Oryzias latipes: one gene and its partner. The protein of the gene in region 1 binds, or shares a complex with, the protein of each later gene. Links are inferred from orthologs where the notes say so. Each region holds a gene or a part of one and is shown on either strand. Other genes may lie near its edges.

Region 1 (11,269 bases):
TATGCTTGTTTTTGCAGCACTTTTAACCAGTAGAAACACATTAAGTAATGATAGTTGCAAAAAACACAGATCAAATTCTATTTTTTTTTTTGCAATCAAAATAGTTGTTTTCCAGGAACTTTAGGATAAATAAAAAAGGCAAATTTAGTCACGGAGACTGTTTTACCTTAGGTTATCAGAGAGGCGAAGATAGCAGCGGACAACGTGTTTCAGCAGACGAGCTGATGGCTCTTTGGAGAGCTGCAGCACCATCTTGCCCTGCACAGATAAAATGATCGTATTATTGTGGTGTGTAGCATACAGTCAGGACCGTAAATATTTGGATAGACACATTCTTTATAATTTAGTTTCTGTACATTACCACAGTGAGTTTTAAATAAAACTTAGATGCCGTTGAAGTGCAGACTTTCAGCTTTTATTCCATGGGTTGAACAAAAAGATTGCATAAAAATGTGAAAAACTAAAGCATTTTTTAAACACAATCCCTTCATTTCATGGGCTCGTAAATAATTGGATAATTGACTTCCATGCTATTGCATGGGCAGGTGTGGGTAATTCCCTTGTTATGTCATTATGAGTGAAGCCGATAAAAGGCCTGGAGAAGATTAGAGGACTCATGCTTGCATTTGGAAGATTTTTCTGTGAACAGACAACATGCGGTCAAAGGAGCTCTCCATGCAGGGGAAAAGAGCCATCATTAAGCTGAGAAAACAGAAAAAAAACATGCCAGAAATTGCTACAGTATTAGGAGTGGCAAAATCAACAGTGTGGTACATCCTGAGAAAGACAGAAAGCACTGGTGAACTCAGCAACGCAAAAAGACCTGGGGCCTCATTTATAAACGTTGCGTACGCACAAAAGAAGGCGTACGCCACTCTCTACGCAATAATTGAGATTTATAAAAAGCAAACTTGACGGGAAAATGTGCGGTCCTTCACGCAAGCTCTGACCCAGGCGTACGCACAAAAACGGGTGAAATGAGAAACGGCGACACCGTCGGCAGATGGAAGAAACACATGAAAGTGAAAATGACAATACTGCCTCTCAGAAATAACATGAAGACTTCACAAAGCAAGTCTTACAATTAACAGCTACACGAACACCCGTTTGATCGATCAGCAGTGAAACAAACAAAAAAATCAAACGAAAATTACAACAGAAATTCAAATGAACACATATTTGCAAAAAGAAAAGTGAAATATGTTCTACAATATTGGCATGTAGTGCAATTCATCCTCATAAACAATATAGTTAACAGAACGAAATAATGTACAAAACTGATATTCTCGTTAATGTGTCCGTCTGGCGGAGCAGATATTGGTGCAATTAGACAGACAGACAGACAGACATTAATTGTCCACTGGTGAAAGTTGTTTTCATATTAAAACATTTCTTCATAAGGCATAAGCTATGGAATTATGGTATTCATGCATATGCCTTTAGTTTGTTTTATTTTTGATAAAACAATGTATAGCGTATGTCTCAACCATTCAGAAAGCAACAAGAAATTACATTTGCGCTGATCAATTTCCCATTTCCACGTCGATTATTACCGACATCTGTAGCTTGTCAGATGTAATTAAATGGATGGAAATAAAATGCCCCATCACAATGCGTAATGACGCTCAATGGCTTATCTTGCGCTCTTAGAAGATGTGGCAAATGGAAGAATTCGGAGTGAACGCATATTTAGACAGCAAGAAGACTTCCTGGCAAACGAGGATGAGTGGCTTATGAGCCGGTTCCGACTTCCTCGAGCTGTCCGGCGGTTCGGCAAGATGGCGGACCGCGAGCATACAGTGTTCTAAACTCTGCAGAAGTTTGCGTGCCAAACCCTGTCTATTAGTAACAAGACAACAAATGAATACACTGACTGACTACCGGTAAGAGAGCTTGCTTAAAAAAAAAAATAAAGAAAAAAAAAACGAACTTAATATTACTTACTCGCTCTGGGAGTTCCTGCTGGGGAAGATCTTTCAATCCACCACTATTTGCGACTGCTAGCTAGCTATTGCTAACGCCATGCCGAAACGAGATAAAATCAAGGGAACATGATAATGGACACAGATGAAGAGGGCGCAGGTTCTGCTTGTGCACTGCTGCTTGAATCTCCTGCTTCAAGTCCTCTGTCAAAGAAACAGTGTTCAGGAAAAAAAGAAGAACAGGTGTCAAATGCTGATATTTTACATGCAATTCGCGAATTAACGGGCAGATTTGCTTCCCTTGAAGAAAAGATCTGCAGAAACACTGCAGATATTGTAACCATCAAAGAAGTGGTGGAAGGCTTGGATCACCAGGTTAAAAAAAGCGAGGAAAGGATGCAAGAGGTGAATCACAGATTTTCAGATCTGGAGATGAAGACCGATGAGATGGAACGGTACAGTCGCAGGTGGAATCTGAAGATGTTCAACCTTCCTTAATCCACAAATGAAACAACGGAGGAAACAAGAGGAAAAGTTTTTGAGGTTTTTGCCCAGATAGCTCCAGAAGAAAGGCAGAAATTTGGCTTTCTGATTGACACAGTGCATCGCGTGGGACAGCGTAAAGATGAAAGCAGGCCTCGACCAGTCATCATTCAATTCACATTGCGAGTCTTCAGGCAGAAAATCTGGAGGCGTCAAAGGATGCTGCAGTCATGAAGGAAAAGAAGCTTCGCATCGCCGAAGATTTAACCTTCCGTGAAAGGCAGAACAGAGGAAAGATCTGGCCGTTGGTGGAAAAAGCTCGGAAAGAAGGAAAGAAAGCCACCTGGAGAGGACAGGATGCCATCATCGATGGAAAGAGAGTTTCAGCTGAAAATCTAAAAAACTGATTGATGTAACTGTAAAGGTCGGTAATTAAGAAATATTCCCTTTGCAACAGTCATTTGTTGGCTTAGAATTTACCTTATGAAGGCATGTCAAACTTTCAACAAGTTTTTGTTTCCAACTTATCCCTAAAGCTAGGTAAGTTGGTATAGAATTGTTATTTGTTCTTATTTTCAAGTTCTGTGTTCTATGAGCTATGACTGATTTTAAGTTTAACTCTTTAAAAATAATTTCTTTAAATGTTAGGGGACTACGTGATACAACCAAGAGAAAAGCATTATTTCTTTTTCTTAGAAGAACTGGCGGAAATATTTTTCTGTTGCAAGAAACTCATTCTTGTGGGTTGGATGAAAAATTTTGGAAATCTAAAAAAAAAAAAAAAAAAAAAAAAAAAAAAAAAAAAAAAAATCCTCGAGCTGTCCTGTTGGACCTCTGCGGGCTTTTGGGGGTATGTCACCCGGTGCATCTGGCGCGTCGGTGTTCCCCCTGCGCCTCAGTCACCACACCACTTAAAAGGGATTCCCCAATTATTACCGCCAGTCTCTCATCAAGAGAGGTCAGCTCAGGCTGTCATTGCCAACAAAGGGTTTTCCACCAAATATTAGTAATGACCATTTTGTTTTCAGTTATTTAATTTGTCCAATTACTTAGGAGCCCAAGAAATGAAGGGATTGTGTTTAAAAAATGCTTTAGTTTTTCACATTTTTATACAATCTTTTTGTTCAACCAAGGCTGAAAGTCTGCACTTCAATGGCATCTGAGTTGATCTGAGAGACACGTTAGAAAAAACGTGTCTCTGTCCAAATATTTATGGTCTTGACTGTACATCTTTATCACAACAATGCTATAGGTGCACAACACAAAAATCCTAAAATACTTACAAGAATCATGGCGACATGGGAAAAACGTTCATAAGTCTGACATATGTAAGCCAACCCAGTGTCATCCAGCAGGATCTTTTGCAGTATGAAAGTAGCAACCTGATAAAAAAAAAAGAATTATAGTCAATGGTAGAAACATGAGTTAAATTCATACCATAGATAAATGCATGAGAGTAGGTTTTAGAAAACCAAAACCCAAATCTGTTAACACATATTTTGAATGTTTGACTCCAAAATCCATTTTTTTCTTCCTGCTTGATAAAAACTGCTTTTGATTTCATTGGTAATTACCGTCTTGGAGAGTTCACTTCCAGATTCCATGATGCGAAGACAGAGTGGGATGATTTCCGTAGTAAGAAGGAAGTTTATCACTTCTTGTTCATCGGTTTTCACCAATGCACCTGTCAAGAACACACAAACAAATCAAGATCTGACATAAACAGAATTATCAGAGCAATACCTAAAAGAGAAGACTTTTTAAATTAAAAGTAAAATCAACAAAAACATGATCTCAGCAGGAGAAATTACCTATGACTCCTAGACTGGTAAGTCGCAGGTACTCAAATGGACGCGTTTTACTCACAGTGTGCAGAAAAGGGTAAAGGAAAAGAGGAATATGGGCAGCTAGAAATGCTGACCTGGTGTGGACAAAACAAATAAAATCATATTAATCAATGTAACACATTAAACCTTGCAAATGGAAATAAGTTCGTTTTTTTTTTTAAATTATAGTGAATTGAGGAATTACATAACAAAACCTTAATATTAAACAATTTATTTAGACCATGGCCTTAATAAAAATGAAAATACTATATTTATTATCTTTTAACCGCTTTAAACTGAAGATCTGCAAAGGCTAAATGCTGGAAAAATCCACTATTCTGTATGATGTATGTATTAAAAGTGACTGATGACTGTTACTTTTTAAACAAATAATAAACAAATAAATAAAACAGATTGTGGTCTGTTACCCCTTTAAAACATTATAAGAGCAGTTAATTATTAGAATTACTAAAAATAAAAAATAAAAATCTGATTTTTCAGTAACAATAACTATCTTGTTACCGTGTCTCTGGATGTGAGGCAACACACTGCAAAAGTGCCAGGGCATTACACACTCTATTTGACTGGTGGGCTGTAAGGGTTGGTGGGTTAATAGACGGATAGATGTTTACTATTTCCTGAAAAAAAAAAAAAGGAGGACAATTTAATTAACAAAAGGAGTTGTTTAACACCACTACAAAAATAAAGACCATACAAGAGGCACAGATGCACAAACAGTCCCAATGGGATGACCTGTGTCAAATGAACAGGTGGACCAATACCTGCAACAGGGCAGCAATGGTGCCACATGAATGCCAGAGCATTGGGGCCAAGTCTGGCACGGATTCTCGCTTCTTGCTGAGCTCCAGCAAAGCATTCTCTCTAGTCTCTGGACTGGACAACTCATTGATCCACTGGTAAATCTTCTCACGGTCTACTTGGGCCAGGGCTGTGACGTTGGTTACAGCCTTTGATAGGAAGAAAATATCAATCCATTCGCAATCAATTCTTTAAACAAGCAAACAAACGAAACACTCAAGAACAAAAACATTACGCTAATTAAGATATATGTAACCTACGTTTAATTTCCCCCTTCTGCAAACCCAAATCATGAAGAGGAAATGACAGCGTGTAAATTTGTTAAATGTCTGCTATGACAAATTGGGGCAAAATCAAATTATTTGTCAATTTAACTACAAAAACGTCTCATGATTTGCCAACTGCAATACATGTATACCAAAACCATACTGTACTACATTTGTACGAGGCTTTCATTAATATTATGCAGTCTTTCTTTGAAAACTGCAAAGAGAAGTTCTGCTTTAAAATTAATTCAATAAAGAAAGCTGAAATTTGGGAGGAAAAAAAAGATTTTCGATGTACTTAGGCGAAATTGGAGGGAACGTCACCGTGAGAGCGATGCAATAGTTTGATACTCACCGCTCCCGTTGCCAACATTTTGGAAAGCTTTTCGGGATCTCAAAATACTCTTTTAATAGAAAGTTCGTCAGTTTGCACCTCTTCGCAATACTCGACCCTGAAATCTCACCGTAAGAACCATGGACATATGCTTACGAACTGCTAGCTTAGCTAGTTGCTAGGTGCTCTAACAAATGGGATCCACAACATGCGTAACTTCACATAACTTCAATCGAAATCCCAACACTGAGAACTACAGAAGCACAAAAAGAAATTATTGTCGTTATAGTATCAATAAACCAAGTTTACACTGGCATTTTTTTCAATCTCGCGTTTGATTTTTTTTCCTCGGCAGGGACAACTTCGCTACAAACAACGTCTCAGATATCGCGAGAGGAGAACGGAGCGCAATCTCGTTCATCATTTCCGTTGTAAATGTTCCCATTCCCGCCATCATCGCCCGTTGCTGTGAGGCGTAGTGTGCTGCTCTACTTGCAGCAAACATACAGAACAGCAGGTGAATGCCGGCAAAACCTTTTTTATGCTCTCGAAGGATCTGCGAAGTCAAGTCCACATTCTATAGGTTTGGAACCACCACCGTGATCCTAGACAGGTAATGAAATGACGATGGCACTGAATGTGGTTGTTTTCATCACCAAATTACTGTGTTAGCTAGCTCCCGCTAGCTTAGGAACCAGTGTTGCTAATGTGGGCCTCTTCCATCATATTAAGCGTCTGTTAAAGAAACAAAAACGCCACTGCATGCTTCACATTTAATATTAGATTCATGTTATTCGACTAGTTCGTTGATAGACTGATATTTTTGTTTATATCGTTTGAATCTATGGTTCTGGCCGCGCCACGAGCATCACAACGCAGCTCAAAATGTGTTGCTTCTCCTCTGCAACATTGGAGTTGTCAGTGTTTGTTGTTTAAATGCAGGCTCTACACAAACATGTTTAAAACTAAAATTCAATGACCGTTCAGGATATGCAGTTTGTTATATTTTGTGATTTTTGTGGTGCAGTAATTCATATTGTACTGTTATGCTAACTTGTCACTTTGGATTATGAAGTCCTACCTTTTTCCTTTACTTCAAACCGCATTTGCCATGTTGGCTACGTATCTACATATCTCATATTAGTTTTGTTTCTGTATCTTTTATTTATTTATTATTATAATTTTGAATAACACATTTCAAGTTTTTAGCAAATGTTATTGTTGGCTACAAATTAAATCACTTATAATCTTCAGAATGGCACGTCGGTGCTGCATGTTCTGTAAAAAAAACAATATAGCAAACTAGTTACAAAAATACTAACTTCTTGTTATGTGGCATTTAGCAATGGTAAAAATATTCATTTAAACTGTTTATTTGGTTAAATAGCAATAGCAGTCATAAAAGTGAGGTTGTTTTTGCCATTATAGGCTACCCGTGTGACTATTTCTTGACATGTTTATTTCTTTTGTACATCTTAAATTCAGACCTAACAAGTGGACCATCAGGATAGCAAGCCATGTCAACTTTTGTGCCCAAACTCTCCAGTGGTAGCACTGTCAAGATTCGCTTTAACACCATTGAGCTGGGCGGCACCAAGTGGAAAGAGGGAACCTTTGAAATTTTGGAAAAGGATAACAGAGTTAATCTCTGTTTAAGGTTCAGCTGTGGTGGCGCTGCCAAAACTTTCCAGGTAATTTCTCTTTAATGTATTTTATCTGTATGCTTGTTGGTGTTGTGACAGATATTTAGCATTAGGCATGATGTTTCTGTCATCCCTACTTAGACATTTTTTTAAATTAGTGTAATTTATTCCATTTTGGATAGAACTACACCTATTATTTTATCTCAATTAAAAATTTCAAGCACATCATATGTTGCTGGAGGAAGTTAAATTTCCGTAAATTCAGGTGAACACCTTGCTTGTTTACTTACTGCCACTAAGGGGTGTATTTTCACATCAGCAAAGATCTGATACAAAACCTAAAACTAATTTAGCACATCATTTACATCTTTAAAACAATGTAGTTTCACTATAGGAAAGTCCTGAGCCTTTATTTTGTTGAACACTTGTAAAAATATAAAGTTCACAGTTGAAAGTACCAAGCCCTCAACTTTAATTGCTTAAAAGTAAAATTTCTAATATTTTGTAATTTTGTTGTGTAACAAATCAAAATATTCACCCCTGTGTGAGGAATCAGCTTGTGCTGTAATGTAATTCAGTTTTATGTTATTTTATAATAAACATATGTAAAACATAATTCTCTTTCACAGAGCCTTTAGTGTTGTAGAAAAGCAGAAGTAAAATATAACTTTTCTGAGTTGTTTTATCGACATCGCTTTAACCCTTTCTATGTTAATCAGGTGATACTGACATAAATATGCTATCTGTTAAAAAGGAAATCAGCAGATGAAAAGTTAACATTGTTTTTGAAGTGCTTTGGTGTCTATCTCTTACATGTGTTTTTTTTAAAGAGTGTATTGTTTTTTTCAGCTGAACCATAATGTGAAAAGCATTTCTCAGAATCCAAATCGGATCATGTTGACTCTGAAGGACAATGTTGTCATTTACTTGGATAAGATGCCTCAGCCATTGGTTCAGAGGACAAAGGAGTATCTGGAAAAACTGAAACAGGGAAAATCTGGTAATTACACTACTTCTCTTTTTTTAACCCAACAAAAACTTTATGTAAAATATTCCTTAAATTATTGACTGCCTAGATTGAAATTTAATTTGTCTGTCAAAACCCCTTTTTATTTTTCCAAGAACTGTATAACTGCTAAAATACTCAATCTTATTTTATTTAGATTCACAAGTTCAAAATTCAGAAAGGTTTGGTCCACTTTTTAAAAATGTCCATGCCAAAAACATTTTTGTTTGAATATGAATATATATTTAGTTATGTTTTCCAAGTAGAAAGTTGTTCTGTACTTTTTTAAGCCATCATTGCTGAATAAAAACCAGTTGCAAATCAGTCATAAAAATTAAATGTAATCAATATGCTATTGTGTCTTCGGTGCATTTTTGCAGAAAACCTTTATTCTTTAAGTAACTGATTTTATTATCATTTTTGTTCTCATCTTTTCTATCTCTTCATGTAGTTTTAAAGTCCTCCTATGGAAGTGCAAACCTAAGCGTACTTGGCAACCGCTCTATGAAAAATGAGACCAACGTATCAGGAGAGAGACAGGTGAGCAAAGCAACTTTGACTTTGATGACACTGAATGTATAATAGAACTGGACTGAGTGACCCCTCCGCCCTTCAAATTCCAAACAGGAAGTACCTGCAGGCCCCCACCTTGAATGTTCAAAATTAACACTTGACAGAGTCTCCCAAGTCCACTTTCAGTGGAAGGGGTGTGGACTTCTAATAATCTCACTCCTGATTGGTGACAGCAGTTGCTATAGACAGATTGATTTAGACCGATTCTGCCCAATCCCTGCTTACTGACCTTGTCTGGCTACAAATGGTGGTGCAAAAATGGCGACAGAGTTGGCAGAGTTTTCTATGAGTGACGCCACACTCCCTCGTCCAGTTCTCTTATACAAGTTGAGTAGGGCTGCACGATATGAGGAAAACTCGCGATATGCAATATTGGTGATTAATATCGCGATAACGATATAATTTGCGGTATATAAACAAATAGCCAAACAACCAAAAACATCATTTACATTTCACTGCAACAGTTTAAAAATGATACTCCAAATGACCCTGGTCGACGTAGGAGGCAAACATCAAACATAAAAGGGCTCCATCTGATTGATCAACAAGGTAAACGGGTCCTTCCGATTGGTTAAATGCATAAAGGGATTAATTTCATTTGTTCACTATTTCAGGCTGCCATGAGTTTGTTTTTGCACATTTGAGGTAACCGTTTATTGCGATTTTCGCCGTCTTTTGCGGTATGCATATTGCACAGCTTGATGTCGCGATAACGATAAATTTGCGGTATATTGTGCAGGCCTAAAGTTGAGGATTAAATAATAATGCAGACTCAGCATTTCAGCCAAAATTGTTTTAGACAACACCAAGGCGACAGAGTATAGAGGGCCGGGAAGATACAACACCAAGAAAGCCTCTGAGCAGCCCTAGCAGGGCAGCTGCCACTCCAACACGCATTGGACTGCTGGAAAACAGGTGTGATCGACTTTTATCACGTGGTTCTACATTTTTTTTTTCCATTTATTTGGTTTGGAAAAATGTTGTGACTTTTTGTTTCAGAGGTGAGAAAAGAAAGAGACTCCTCACTTCTGAAAGTGACCTTAATGAAGACTACCCCAAGGAAAATGACTCCTCCAGGTGAGCCCAGTAGTGTGTGTTGCAACTGACACAATCCTCAGAATCATTGTCCTTTTAGAAGTCTGAGTTTCTACAATCCAGAATCATTTAGATTTTCCCCCCACACATTTGTAGCAACAACAAGGCAACTTCAGAAACACCCAGGAAGTTTCTTCTGAGCTGCAAGGAAAAGCTCAAACTTTCAGAGGAGAACAGGAGCGCAGGTAAACTGCCATGTCCACGGATCACTAAAGACTTCATGTGTTTTATAAAGATGGCTGTCTTGTAGTGTCTTCTCTATTTATTTGAAAGTAATAGAAGGAATTCATGTCAACTATCAGTAATGTAAAGATTTGATTAGGTTTTTTTTAACATCCATCTTTTTTTGTGCTGTGACTCTTGTAGGCCCTTTGGCTGCATCTCCGCTTCAGCCAACCTCGTTCTATGGCAGCAGATCTGTAACCAAAGACTACAGTCAGAGCCACTCCTTTGTGGACAGGTGAACATCTGTCGATTCACTCATATGCTTTCTAATCAGTGTTGCTCTGTATTGAAACCAAAACTCACATTTAAATGTGATGTTGTGAAATCACTCACAAAACAGTTTATGAAGTTCCTGTTGAAGCACAAGTTGAACCAACACTTTCGATTTTATCATTGATAGGCCTGTCAGTACTTCTCAGACCACCCCAGCCAAGAGGAGTCTCATTCTCCCTAACCACTCCACTCCCTTTAAGAAGGTGCGACCCTCTCTGGAGTACGGTGGCTGGAACAAACAGAGGCCATCTGCCTTAGCCCAACCTCAGCCACCCTTGCAAGGGTAAGTGTTAAATCGATGATTTCCACTAAAGGCTCAAATAAAAAATATTCATTTTTTAATATCAATAAAAACTACATTTACCACAAATGTGTTTTTAACATTACAGATTTTCTAACCTTGGAAATACCTGTTACATGAATGCCATACTGCAGTCCCTCTTCAGCCTCCCCTCTTTTTCTAATGACCTGCTCAAGCAAAGCACCTTTTGGAAGAACTTGCCAATAAATGCATTGCTAAGGTACTCTTCACAGTACAGTTATAAATGTATAATGATTGAGTTTTTGGTCCTATTTCATAGTGAAGGTTTTTGACTCAGTTGAATTTCTACTCCCTGCAGGCGTTTTGCGCACCTTATGATTAAGAAAGATGTAGGCTGTCCAGAGACTAAAAAGGACTTGTTGAGGAAAGTGAAGAACGCCATTTCCTCCACGGCTGAGCGTTTCTCTGGAAACATGCAGAACGTAAGATTCTTTTCATGAAATTCAAACCATTTGCCAACTTTGTTTAAAAAAAAAAGAGGG
Region 2 (10,521 bases), on another chromosome or scaffold:
CCACCGCCCCCCTGAAACAGGTACTGACCTCCAAACGGCCACGGCGGCACAACGTCATCAGTCCAACGCAGGAAACTGTCTGTGCTTTCTCCTCAGGTCCTGCTGCAGGCCTCGCTCCATCTGACCCGCGGCGTGCTGAGCTGGATCCTGAACGACGACGCGCAGCTGCTGAAGGAGCTGTGGTGGGCGGCGGCCTGGATCAGAGACGCCGGACTCTTCTGCGCCTCCGCAGAGCTGTGCAGGCGGCTGTTCCCCGAAGGTCCAACACGCCTCCCTCTGAAGCCGTCACACGTGTTCAGACTCCGCTTCAGACTTCTGACCCCATAACGTCTCAAAACAACAAATCGCATTTTCTCTGAAGCCGTTTCTGTACGAGATCAAAAAAGTAGAACACAAACAGAAGAAACACGTGAAAAACTGATGAAGCGTTTCACAGAACCGTTGAGACGAGCTCAGTTTGGATTTTATTTCTGTGTTTCTAAAAATGGATTTAAAACAACATTCCTGTTTTCTGTCGTCTAGGTGATGTTGGTCTGTTCTCCAGGAAACGTCCAAAGACCCTGAAGGGGACCGAGGCTGAGGCGAGCGCTGCGCTCAGCAGCCTGCAGGCCTTGGTCCGCTATCACCGCCTGTACGAGTGCTGGTGGAGGAGCGCCGCGGAGCAGGTGGAGGTCCAAAAGGGAGCAGCGGGCGAAGGCCAGGAGGACTTTGAAGTGCTGCTGTCCGAGCCGCACGCCGCCTGTCAGAGCCTGCAGAGGTCGGTGCAGGAGATCCGGGAGCGGCTGGCGGCCATGGTGGCGCAGCACAGCCGAGCGCAGGAAGACCCGCTCCCTGTGGGGAACCAGAACTCTGCAGAGCACAGGTCAGATTCTGATGCAAACATCGCTCACAACGACCAGGCCAGGAAGTGCACGTTTTTTTCACGATGATGGTGTGAAATTTGAGTTCAGGAAGTTGGATCATTTGAATCATTTAAATATTAAAAAAAACATCACTTTGATCTGGTTTATGTTGTAAAATAAATGAAATACCTTAACCCTGGTCATGTTTCCGTCAGGTCCAGCAGCGTCTGCCATGGACTTTTTCTTCTAGTTTGTGCTTCATTCAGTTAACTAGAAGTTTTTGTTCCAGCTGTGAAGATCAGGAGACTCTTCTGTCTCTGTCCTCCAAGATGTCCAAATACCAGCAGCAGCTGGTCGACCTGCCCGACACCCTGAAGGTCGGCCTCCACTCCTCCATCTGGACACGCTCTCATGGGTTCTGTGTTTGATCTGGAGCTGTAACTGCGTCCTCTTCGTCCCTCAGATGTTTCCTCATCCAGACGTCCTGGAGTGTTCCCTCGTGCTTTTGCACCTCGGCCGATCTGCGGGCGCCGTGTGTCCGTCGCTGCGACAGAAAGCCGAAGACCTGCTGCAGAAACACGGGAGGAGTCCCTCCATTCTGAACGCCTATCGGCGCTTCATCACATGAACACGTCTGCTGCTGAACCTCTGCACCTGTACAGTTTTGGTTAATAAAGGACACATGAAAGTCACCTGAATCAGAGCTCCTCTAAAATCATTTTGGTCATTTTAAAGTAGTTTTTCCTTTAGTTTGTGAAAACAGTTACATTTTTACTAATAGCATTTATAAAAGTGGTTAAACCTCATAAAGTTCAGGATCTGAGCTCAGAACTGAGGAACAGTTAAACTATAAACTAATTATTTAAACTATTTTTGATTATTATACTAATTCTTACCCCTTGTTCTATCCTAGGCACTCTAACATTGGGAGTTGGGTCATCTAGACCCACTAGACAGTGCTATGAACCTTTTTTCTTCAATGATTTGTGATCTTCACTGGTGTCCATGGATTACATGAAATCTTTCCACCTTTATCCACCTTTGTCATGGTAGGGAGAACACCTCAATGGAAGGGGGGGGGGGTCATCTAAGATAGCACAAGGGTTACACAAAGTAAAAAAAAAGAAACTCCAAATGTTTGGTAAATTACAAAAGTTCAGTTCAAATGTTTTGAGGAAACTTTTGGTGGTAGTGATTGTTACCACGCTTGGCCACTAGGTGGTGCTAGAACAGCATGGAAGCGTGACTTCAGCAGCTGATGGAGGCTACAGGTGGAGTCAAACTCAGACATTTCTCCTGCTTTGACTCCGCCCCCTCGCAGGACTCTGTTCTTCAGCGTGGCTGGACCATGGAAGATGTCTCTGGGACGTCCTTCGGCTCTAGCAGCTGGTGGAGCATGTGGACACAGACATGGAGGCCGGCTTGAACATGGAAGGGCCTCAGACCCCCGCTTGTTGAGAAGGTTTCTCCAAAGTGGAGACCAGATTCTCCTGACTGCTCTGCTGCCCTCTGCCTTTTGTTATCGGCGACGGTTTGTGTGTCAGCGTGTTGCCCATTTTGGGAGTTTCTATGGGATGTTTGATGAAGATCATTCTGAGCTAAAGTCCAGCAGGGAGAACCGCAGGAGTTTTCTGCAGCTCCGGACTTTCTGGGTCCAGGTTTCTGCTGTAGATCTGATGTTCAGGTGGATTCTTGTTCTGTGCATCTGAACACTCATCTGCTAAGGGGTAAAAAAACTGCCCATTCATATATTTAAATGTGAATAAATATTGGGCCCATATAATGACTGTGATTCTATCATAGAACAGTACATATAATCATTTATATATTAATTAGTAGATTAACTCCATTTTTTGTGGTTTAACATTTAGTAAATTCTGTTCATGTAAAGACATTAGCATCTCCTAACAGACCTTTTAGTTTGGGTCAGGTTCTGCTTGGACCCTTCAAATCTCTCTCCACCTGGAGCTTCATGGAAGATCTCCGTGATCTTTAGAACGGTGAGGAGCAGCCCAGAACGTCACAGGGAAAGTGATCGATGACCTGAGGAGAGCTGGGGTCACAGTAACTCCGGTTACTATGGTAACACACAACGTCCTCCAGTGCTCCAAAAGGCCCCCCTTCCTGTCCAGATGATCCGGAGGATGAGGAGGAAGTCAGGTGGTCAGATGAGACCAAAACGGAACTCTTTGGTATAAACGCCACTTGCTGGGTTTGGAAGAGAACACAGACGCACCGTGAAGCATGGGGGTGGAATCATCATGTTATGGGCCTGTTTTTCTGCTGAGAGCACAGAACGACCGGTCCTTATGAAGGAAAGGATGAATGGATCCATGCATGGTGAGATTTTGGACGAGAAACTCTTCCAGGAAAGAGAACGTGTCAGTGATCGCAAACACATCGTCATGGCAACAAGAAAGTGGCTACGTAAAGAGCATTTTGTGGTTCTGGAGGGTTTTCAATCAGAGAATCAATGGTGAATGTCCCAAAACATCACATACCGAACCTGAAGACCTTCAGGAGACCTTTGACCTCTTTCAGTGATGAGATGAACGTTTGCTATATGTTCTGCTCCATTATACACATACATTCGTTAAAAATGAATCAAAATGATTATCTGGACTCTTTCTCACATTTAGTCTTTCATGAAGTCATGATAAACACAACAGACCAAAGTCAGAGTTTTGGTGGAACAACCTGCAGGATGTGTGACTTGTCCCGCTGGACCTCACATTCTACCTGCTCTGCTTCAGGATCCAAGTCTTTCCAGCCTCATCAAGATCAGATGTCTTAAAGCAGCTTTGTCCTCTTTCCTCTGGTCTCTTTTTATTTATTTTAACTTGTCCTGTCCAACAGCTGGGCAGACAGATGAGAGCTGAGGGCCTCTTGTGTTGGACATATTTTACTTTAACAACAGGGGTTATTCATCTTCTGACAAACCAAAGGTGTGTCTGAATAAACCCCTTTTGTAATTGAGGCCAAAATTTATTAATTTCAATCATGTTTGAAAATCTTTGGTGTTGGACCGGACGGAAAGGGAAAGAAAGGAAGAAGAGAGAGGAATGTTAGAGAGGGGGGGGGGGGTGATAGTGGGAGGGGGGATAAGACCATGAAGCAGCATAAAGCAACAAGTTTACTGTAAAATGTAAATGTAAATGTAGTACAAAAAGGGCGGGGCCTGTCCACACACTCAAATATTATCAACACACCCGTTAGCTGCAAAAAATGTCCACATGTACACAAAACAGATAGTGTTCACACACGCATACTTATGCCTTTAAACCAACTAGTGTGAAATATTTCATTCAATCATGCAAACTATTAGTGCAAAGGTGAGCTAACACCTGTGCTCAGGTGAGTGTTTATGTTCTTCTAAAATGGATGGTGGAATGTGAAAAGAAGGAGAGAGAGTGACCAGCCACCCCCACACCAAGACTCCCCAACACCCGCACGGTACCAGATGGAGGACAACCGCCCCCCCTGGGCGATCACATCCGCCACCCAGGCCAGGGCCAGCAGGACCATTGCGGCCCCCCAGAGGCAGAGAGCAGGGGAGGGATGGGGTAAAGAGAGTGCTGCTCCGGCCTAACAGGAGAGCAGCCCCACCGCTACGCCGGGAAGGCTCAACGCGGGGCACCGCCCCAGAAGAACACCCACAGCCCCAGACGAGCACCCCATCACCACCGAGGAGTTCCGGGCATCCCCCCGCCCAAACCCCAGGTACGAGCCAGGACCCCCCAAGGGAGACCCGACCCGCACTCCAGGCAGCCATCCGCCCGGCCCACGGTTGGTCCAGGAAGGAGCAAGGCAGGGGCCAGCCGTCCCCGCCCAGGAGGAGGACACCCCAGGGAAGAGGGGGTCCACAATAAGTGTTGTAAACATGGCCCGACCGGCGAGGCCCAGCACTCTTTCCTCTGATCTCTTGATCACACAGGAGATCCAAAGTTCTGCTGCCCGTCACGTCCACTAAGTTTCTGTCAAAGTTCTTTCTTTCCCTGCTGCCTTTTCTCTTAGTCTGCTGCAGAACACGCCTTCGTCCACCTTCCAGCAGGAGGAGCAGAGATGATGCTGAAGACCCCTGTTCTGCCCCACCTGTAAGAACCGAGGACCAGGTTTAGCCCAGTTTCCCCAAGCATGCTCGTCCTCTCTTTCCTAAAACATGACTCGGCTCTAGATCCCGGTTCTGACGAGTCATTTCTGAGCATCGCTTTGACTTGACCACAGAGGTGTTTGAAGAACAGAATAAAAGGATTGTCCAGAAATGACCAAACGCTCCACGATTACACTGAAAATACAAAACAATTTAATATACAACTGTTGACAACGATGCAGAATGTAAAAACAGTGAGCGGAAGAGTGTGGTCTGCTGGAGAACCACCACCTTCTGAGTGGACATGAGCTAAAACATGTTCATTTACATGAGTGTAACCTACAAGGAGATCCTGCTGGGGGGCAGAATCATCCTGAAGCTGGTCCCATGCTGCAAATGAGGCGTTTTAAAAAGTGTTTGGAAATGAAGTAAAAAGTGACTAAAAGAAAGAGCGAGCCCGGGGAGGGGGCCACTGCTGACTGCCATGAGGGGCGGGGCCACTGCAGCCTGCAGAGGCGGTGAGGGCTCACATTGGGGTATTTAGTGAGAAGATGGGAGCAGAAACCCGCTGGTTGGCTTTTAAAACACTCTGGGGGGGGGGCTCAGTGCTTGTTGTTGGCCTCATCGCCCGTGGAGCCGGCGAGGCCGTTCTGCGGCTGACTGGAGCCGGAGCCGAGGCCGTACAGCCTCCCGCAGTATTTGGCGTCGTCGATGTTGTCCTCGAAGAAAAGCTGCGACAGACAAACAAACGAGTCTGTTGGGATTATTTCTGCACCACCTTCACACTGAACCAAACATCCACAAACCTGCAGACAATTAAGAAATGACATTTTTGATGTGTTCATAATAATCCAGCTGATGCTAAAGTTTCACATTTTCAGATGAAATAAAATGAAATAAATGAAACAAAGCAGCCTTTTTATTGAACTGCGGCGACTTTATTAGGCACACCTGTCCAACCAGCCAATCACATGGCAGCAGCTCTGTGCATTAATTAGACATGGTCCAGACGATCAAACCGAGCATCAGAACGAGGAAGAAAGGTGATTGAAGGGACTCTGAACGTGCTTGTTGGTTCCAGACGGGCTGGTCTGAGGATTTCAGAAACTGCTGATCTACTGGGATTTTCACCCACAACCATCTCTAGGGTTTACAAAGAACGGTCCTTAAAGAGAAAACATCCAGAGAGCAGCAGTTCTGTGGATGGAAATGCCTCGTTGGTGCCAGAGGTCAGATTGGTTCCAGCTGATAGAAGACAACAGGAACTCAAAGAACCACTGGTTCCAACAGAGGTCTGCAGAAGAGCATCAATGAAAGAACAACCCGTCCAACCTGGAGGCAGATGGACTACAGCAGCAGAAGACCACACCGGGTACCACTGCTGTCAGCTAAGAACAGGAAACTGAGGCTACAATTCACACAGACTCACCAAAACTGGACCATAGAAGATGGAAAAACGTTGTCTGGTCTGATGAGTCTCCATTTCTGCTGCCACATTCAGATGGTAGAGTCAGAATCTGGCCTCAACAAAATGAAAGCATGGATCCATCCTGCCCTGTATCAACGGTTCAGGCTGGTGGTGGTGGTGTCATGGTGTGGGGATGTTTTCTTTGTACCAACTGAGCATGGTTCCAGCACCACAGTCTACCAGAGTATTGATGCTGACCATGTCCATCCCTTCATGACCACAGTGGACCATCTTCTGATGCTACTTCCAGCAGGATAAGGCTCCATGTCATGAAGCTGGAATCATCTCAGACTGGTTTCTAGAACATGACAATGAGTTCTCTGGACTCAAACTGCCTCCACAGTCACCAGAACCCAATAGAGAACCTTTGGGATGCGGTGGAACTGGAGATCGGCATCATGGATGTACAGCTGACAAATCTGCAGCAACTGATGCTGTCATGTCAACATGGACCAAAGTCTCTGAGGAATGTTTCCAGAACCTTGCTGATTCTAAACCACAGAGGATTAAGGCGGTTCTGAAGGCTAAAGAGGGTACAAGCAAAGTGGAGCTGCTAAAGTGGGTGAGTGTATGTCCACACATAAAACACTAAAGATCTACAATTCTACGCATTTATAAATGCATTTCTCGAAAGACATTTTATAAACCATCTAAGCAGATTCACAAAAACTTCCAGCTGCAACAGAACAGCTGTCAGCCGGAAAACGATGAAGACTGTACCTCCTTCATCCTGAAGAAAGCCATGCCCGTGAGCAGCGAATCCGACCCCGCCTGATGCTGCCGGCCAATCCTCTTCAGCTCCAGCTGATCGGCCACTTCCTGCAACCCCCCCTGCAGGAACAAGCGGAGACGGAGTGAGACGGCTCCACGTTCCTCGGGGATGTAGAAAGCAATAAACCCTGTGACCCGCAGGCCTTACCTTCAGACTTTTGCAGCTCTTCATCAAATACTTCACATCGTAAATTGCAGGAAAAAACAAGTTTAAGATCTGAAAGAACTCGTGTTCCTCCTCTGGAAGCCGCGCATCCGTCAGGAGTTTCACCAGATAGCCAAAGTCATAACCACTGAGACAAAACAAAAATTATTAATGATTAAAAACTCAGAGAATCAACTCCTCTAGACATTGAACAGTTTCAGAGGTTCTGCAAAAGTTTACTATCAATGTGAATAGAAGCAGCATCCCAGAAACCTTTTCTAGATCGTGTCTGTCTCAGAGGAAGACAGGGAAAATGGTGACGGTCGCTCTAAAAAGCTCTGCAAAGACTTAAAGTTCCATAATCTTGAACGTCATCTACATTATATCGTCTAAGAAACATCAGCAGAACCAAAGAGGACTAAGATACCAGTTTATTGTGGAGTTTGTCTCCAGCAGGTCAGACTGCTGTAACGTCTGGACCCAGAAAAGAAGCAGCAGTTCATCCAGAACGCTGCTGCTCCGCTTCTGATTTTGACCATCAGTCCCGAGGTCACACAACAGCCTTTCAAATAGTTCTGCTTCTGTTCAAGTCTCTTCATGCTTTAGCATCAGAGATCATATTTGGAATGAACCAGAGGCAGAACTTTAACTGGAGCTCAGAATTCAGCTCCATGCAGCTAATCTCTGAAATTTCTCCCTGAAGATCCCAGAGAAGTTTTTCCTCTGACAAGGATTAAGTTCAGAGTAAAAGAGATGTTTTTGACCTGCTTACATTGTTTTATCTGGATCTCTATTCTGGTGTTAACCCATAAGTACCCAGACCCATTTGTTGTTTAAAATAAAGTGCATATTTTAACCACAAACCAAATGGACCAAAGAATCCATTTCTGATATTTTCTGTTACACTGACGTCACCGTGGGTTCTACTGGGTTAAAGTGATTTTAATTATATTTTATGATTTCTGAAAGATCAAACAGAAGACCCCCTCCCACCCCCGTTCATGGAACAAGCCAGCAGACAACCGACCTGTGGAAGGACAGCCACTTGACGTTCTCACACAGAACCAGACCCGACGTCATGAGGAGCTCGGCGAAGTACAGCGTGTCGATTCCTTCTTCTTCGTGTTTTTTGAACTGCAGACCCGAGTTCTGGAGCAGGTCTATGGAGTCCTGGGAGTACATATCCTCACTGCACACAACGTTAGAGAACATCAAGGATCATTTCAGGACTTGATCATCTTATTTCACTAGAAAACCTGTGAACCTTTCACTTTTCAGAGATTTATGAAAAGGAGTAAACAAAAATGTAAATCAACCTTTTTTTAATTATTAAAATACATCTAATAAAAAAAAAAAAGTAAAAAGTTCATGCAGTTTAACACCACAGTAGAACAGCTGAGGCACAAACTTCTGTGTGAAATACTGTCTCCTAGTGGAGAAGTGGCTCATTGCATCTTTCACAGCCTGTTTAAGGCTTACGTACTGGAGTTTAATTTACAGGCGTCTCTGTTTATGTTTTTTATTATTTTTAAAGACTGTTGTCATCATAGCACATAAGTGGCTTAGGCTGCCAGCAGGTTGACAGGAAGCAGCGAACGTTTTCAGTCCCATGAGACGACGAAGCACCTACGTCAGGTTGAACTTGAAGTTGAATTGCCACGTGGTCGTGCCGGGGGGGTAATCCCCATCCTCGTTCATGAATGTGAGACCAAGCTGGATGATCTTCAGCAGATCCACGTTGCACCGCAGCAGCTGGTACTGGTAATCTACCGTACTGCGAAACTCGCCTATGGGTCGGACCACGACTCCGGGAAACTCCGTGTCCTAAGACACAGAAATGCAGGGTTAGGACACTCCAGGAAAGGAAGAGACTAGCACACATTTGCAATCACCACATTTACGTTCTTTGTTTTTCTTTTTAGAATTCAACTGTCAACAAAGAAAGGAGAGCCTGTAACCATGGCAACGTAGTTGTAGCTTTGGATAATTTGCCGTATCTTCCTCATCTCTTCCCCCACGTTGCTCGCCCAGACTTCACAGATCATCTGGCTGGAATCTTGAAGAGCAGCTGGCATGTTGGCAGGTTCCTAGGAGACCCGACGGTCCTGCAGGGCTTCAAGGGGGGGTGGGAAGGGGGACCGTGCAACAAAAAAAGAACTGCGAAAGGAGATTTAGAAAAAACGTACTTAAATCTCAGAGTAATGCCGTCAAATCATCACAAGTATACAACATAAAAATAGGGAATCTTTGGAAGCTGAGCATCTAATAAGAGTCTACTTAATTTATTCAAAAGTTACCCAGTCATGATGGCATCATTTACTGATCTAAGGTCAAATGCAGGGTCAAACCGTGTCTTTACTCTGTCCTGCTTTGACCCCTTAACAATTGTTTCCCTGTTTCACAGCATCAATTTGATTCAAAATGCTATTGATAGATTGAAGACTAACTGCTTTCTGTATGTAATAATCCACCAAGTAGTCTTGGGTGTCACCATATATTTGGTTTAAAAAAAAAATCAGTTCAACAGCAGCACTGAAAGTTACATGGTAAAATGACGTTTCTGTAGTCTGTAACTGGGATTTTTACAGTCTACCTGACGCGTTTCCACATAGATCTTTATATATAATGAAAGTACACGCTGTATGGAGGCTCTCAAAACGAGCAAAAACTAACAATAAAAATAGAAACAACAAAGAACAGCATTAAAAAAACGCTGTTGTTGCCATGACAGCCGACTCCGTACTGACTGTAGTGCGGAACTGGCTTTACTAATTTAACTTCAGCCGAAATACAAATATAAAACCGATATTTTCAATCATTCTAACACTATAAATAAAACAAATATACTTTAAAATTGTTCTTAAGCAGAAAAGAAAATGAAAACAAACCGTGATCGATGCTAACAGTTAGCATAGACGTTAATATTCGCGCGCGGTCAAGTTGCAGAGATGACGCAGCATTGAAGAATAAATAAATGACGTGGCCCTGTTAAAGTGTTTAATCTGACTGAAGCTGCCCGGGAAAAAAAATGTAGTCGTTTAATTAGGTAACCGGTTTACCTTAAAATTCCCTCGACACAACGCTGTCGTCTGCTTCCTTCATTTCCTACCGTCTCACTTCCGGTTTGGAGTGGACTATAAACGTGCACACTGCCCCCTGCCGGTCCGGAGCGGAAGCTCCACAACGCTACTTCATTTGTTGACAT

What was found. The genes of interacting proteins can lie anywhere in the genome.
Region 2: cnot9 (region 1) and cnot8 share a complex: the UniProt entries of both Homo sapiens proteins name them as parts of the CCR4-NOT complex. The link is inferred for Oryzias latipes from reciprocal best matches to the Homo sapiens genes CNOT9 and CNOT8.

What each region holds. Positions count from the first base shown.
Region 1 is NC_019879.2:16,422,252-16,433,520, forward strand, and holds the start of cnot9 (CCR4-NOT transcription complex subunit 9), read right to left. Parts: upstream 6,050-11,269; 5' UTR 5,690-6,049; coding exon 5,672-5,689; intron 5,200-5,671; coding exon 5,014-5,199; intron 4,870-5,013; coding exon 4,754-4,869; intron 4,327-4,753; coding exon 4,217-4,326; intron 4,090-4,216; coding exon 3,980-4,089; intron 3,788-3,979; coding exon 3,689-3,787; intron 259-3,688; coding exon 167-258; intron 1-166. Other genes in the region: usp37 (ubiquitin carboxyl-terminal hydrolase 37), read left to right, coding at 7,168-7,341, 8,143-8,293, 8,751-8,839, 9,672-9,787, 9,872-9,949, 10,064-10,152, 10,334-10,427, 10,593-10,748 and 2 more. UniProt on the Homo sapiens protein: Component of the CCR4-NOT complex which is one of the major cellular mRNA deadenylases and is linked to various cellular processes including bulk mRNA degradation, miRNA-mediated repression, translational repression during translational initiation and general transcription regulation.
Region 2 is NC_019872.2:29,380,775-29,391,295, reverse strand, and holds cnot8 (CCR4-NOT transcription complex subunit 8), read right to left. Parts: upstream 10,475-10,521; 5' UTR 10,376-10,474; exon of another isoform or gene 10,205-10,375; intron 9,474-10,204; 5' UTR 9,392-9,473; coding exon 9,275-9,391; intron 9,141-9,274; coding exon 8,947-9,140; intron 8,506-8,946; coding exon 8,344-8,505; intron 7,465-8,343; coding exon 7,320-7,464; intron 7,232-7,319; coding exon 7,121-7,231; intron 5,664-7,120; coding exon 5,535-5,663; 3' UTR 5,123-5,534; downstream 1-5,122. Other genes in the region: gemin5 (gem-associated protein 5), read left to right, coding at 1-20, 97-259, 523-862, 1,132-1,219, 1,306-1,470. UniProt on the Homo sapiens protein: Has 3'-5' poly(A) exoribonuclease activity for synthetic poly(A) RNA substrate. Its function seems to be partially redundant with that of CNOT7.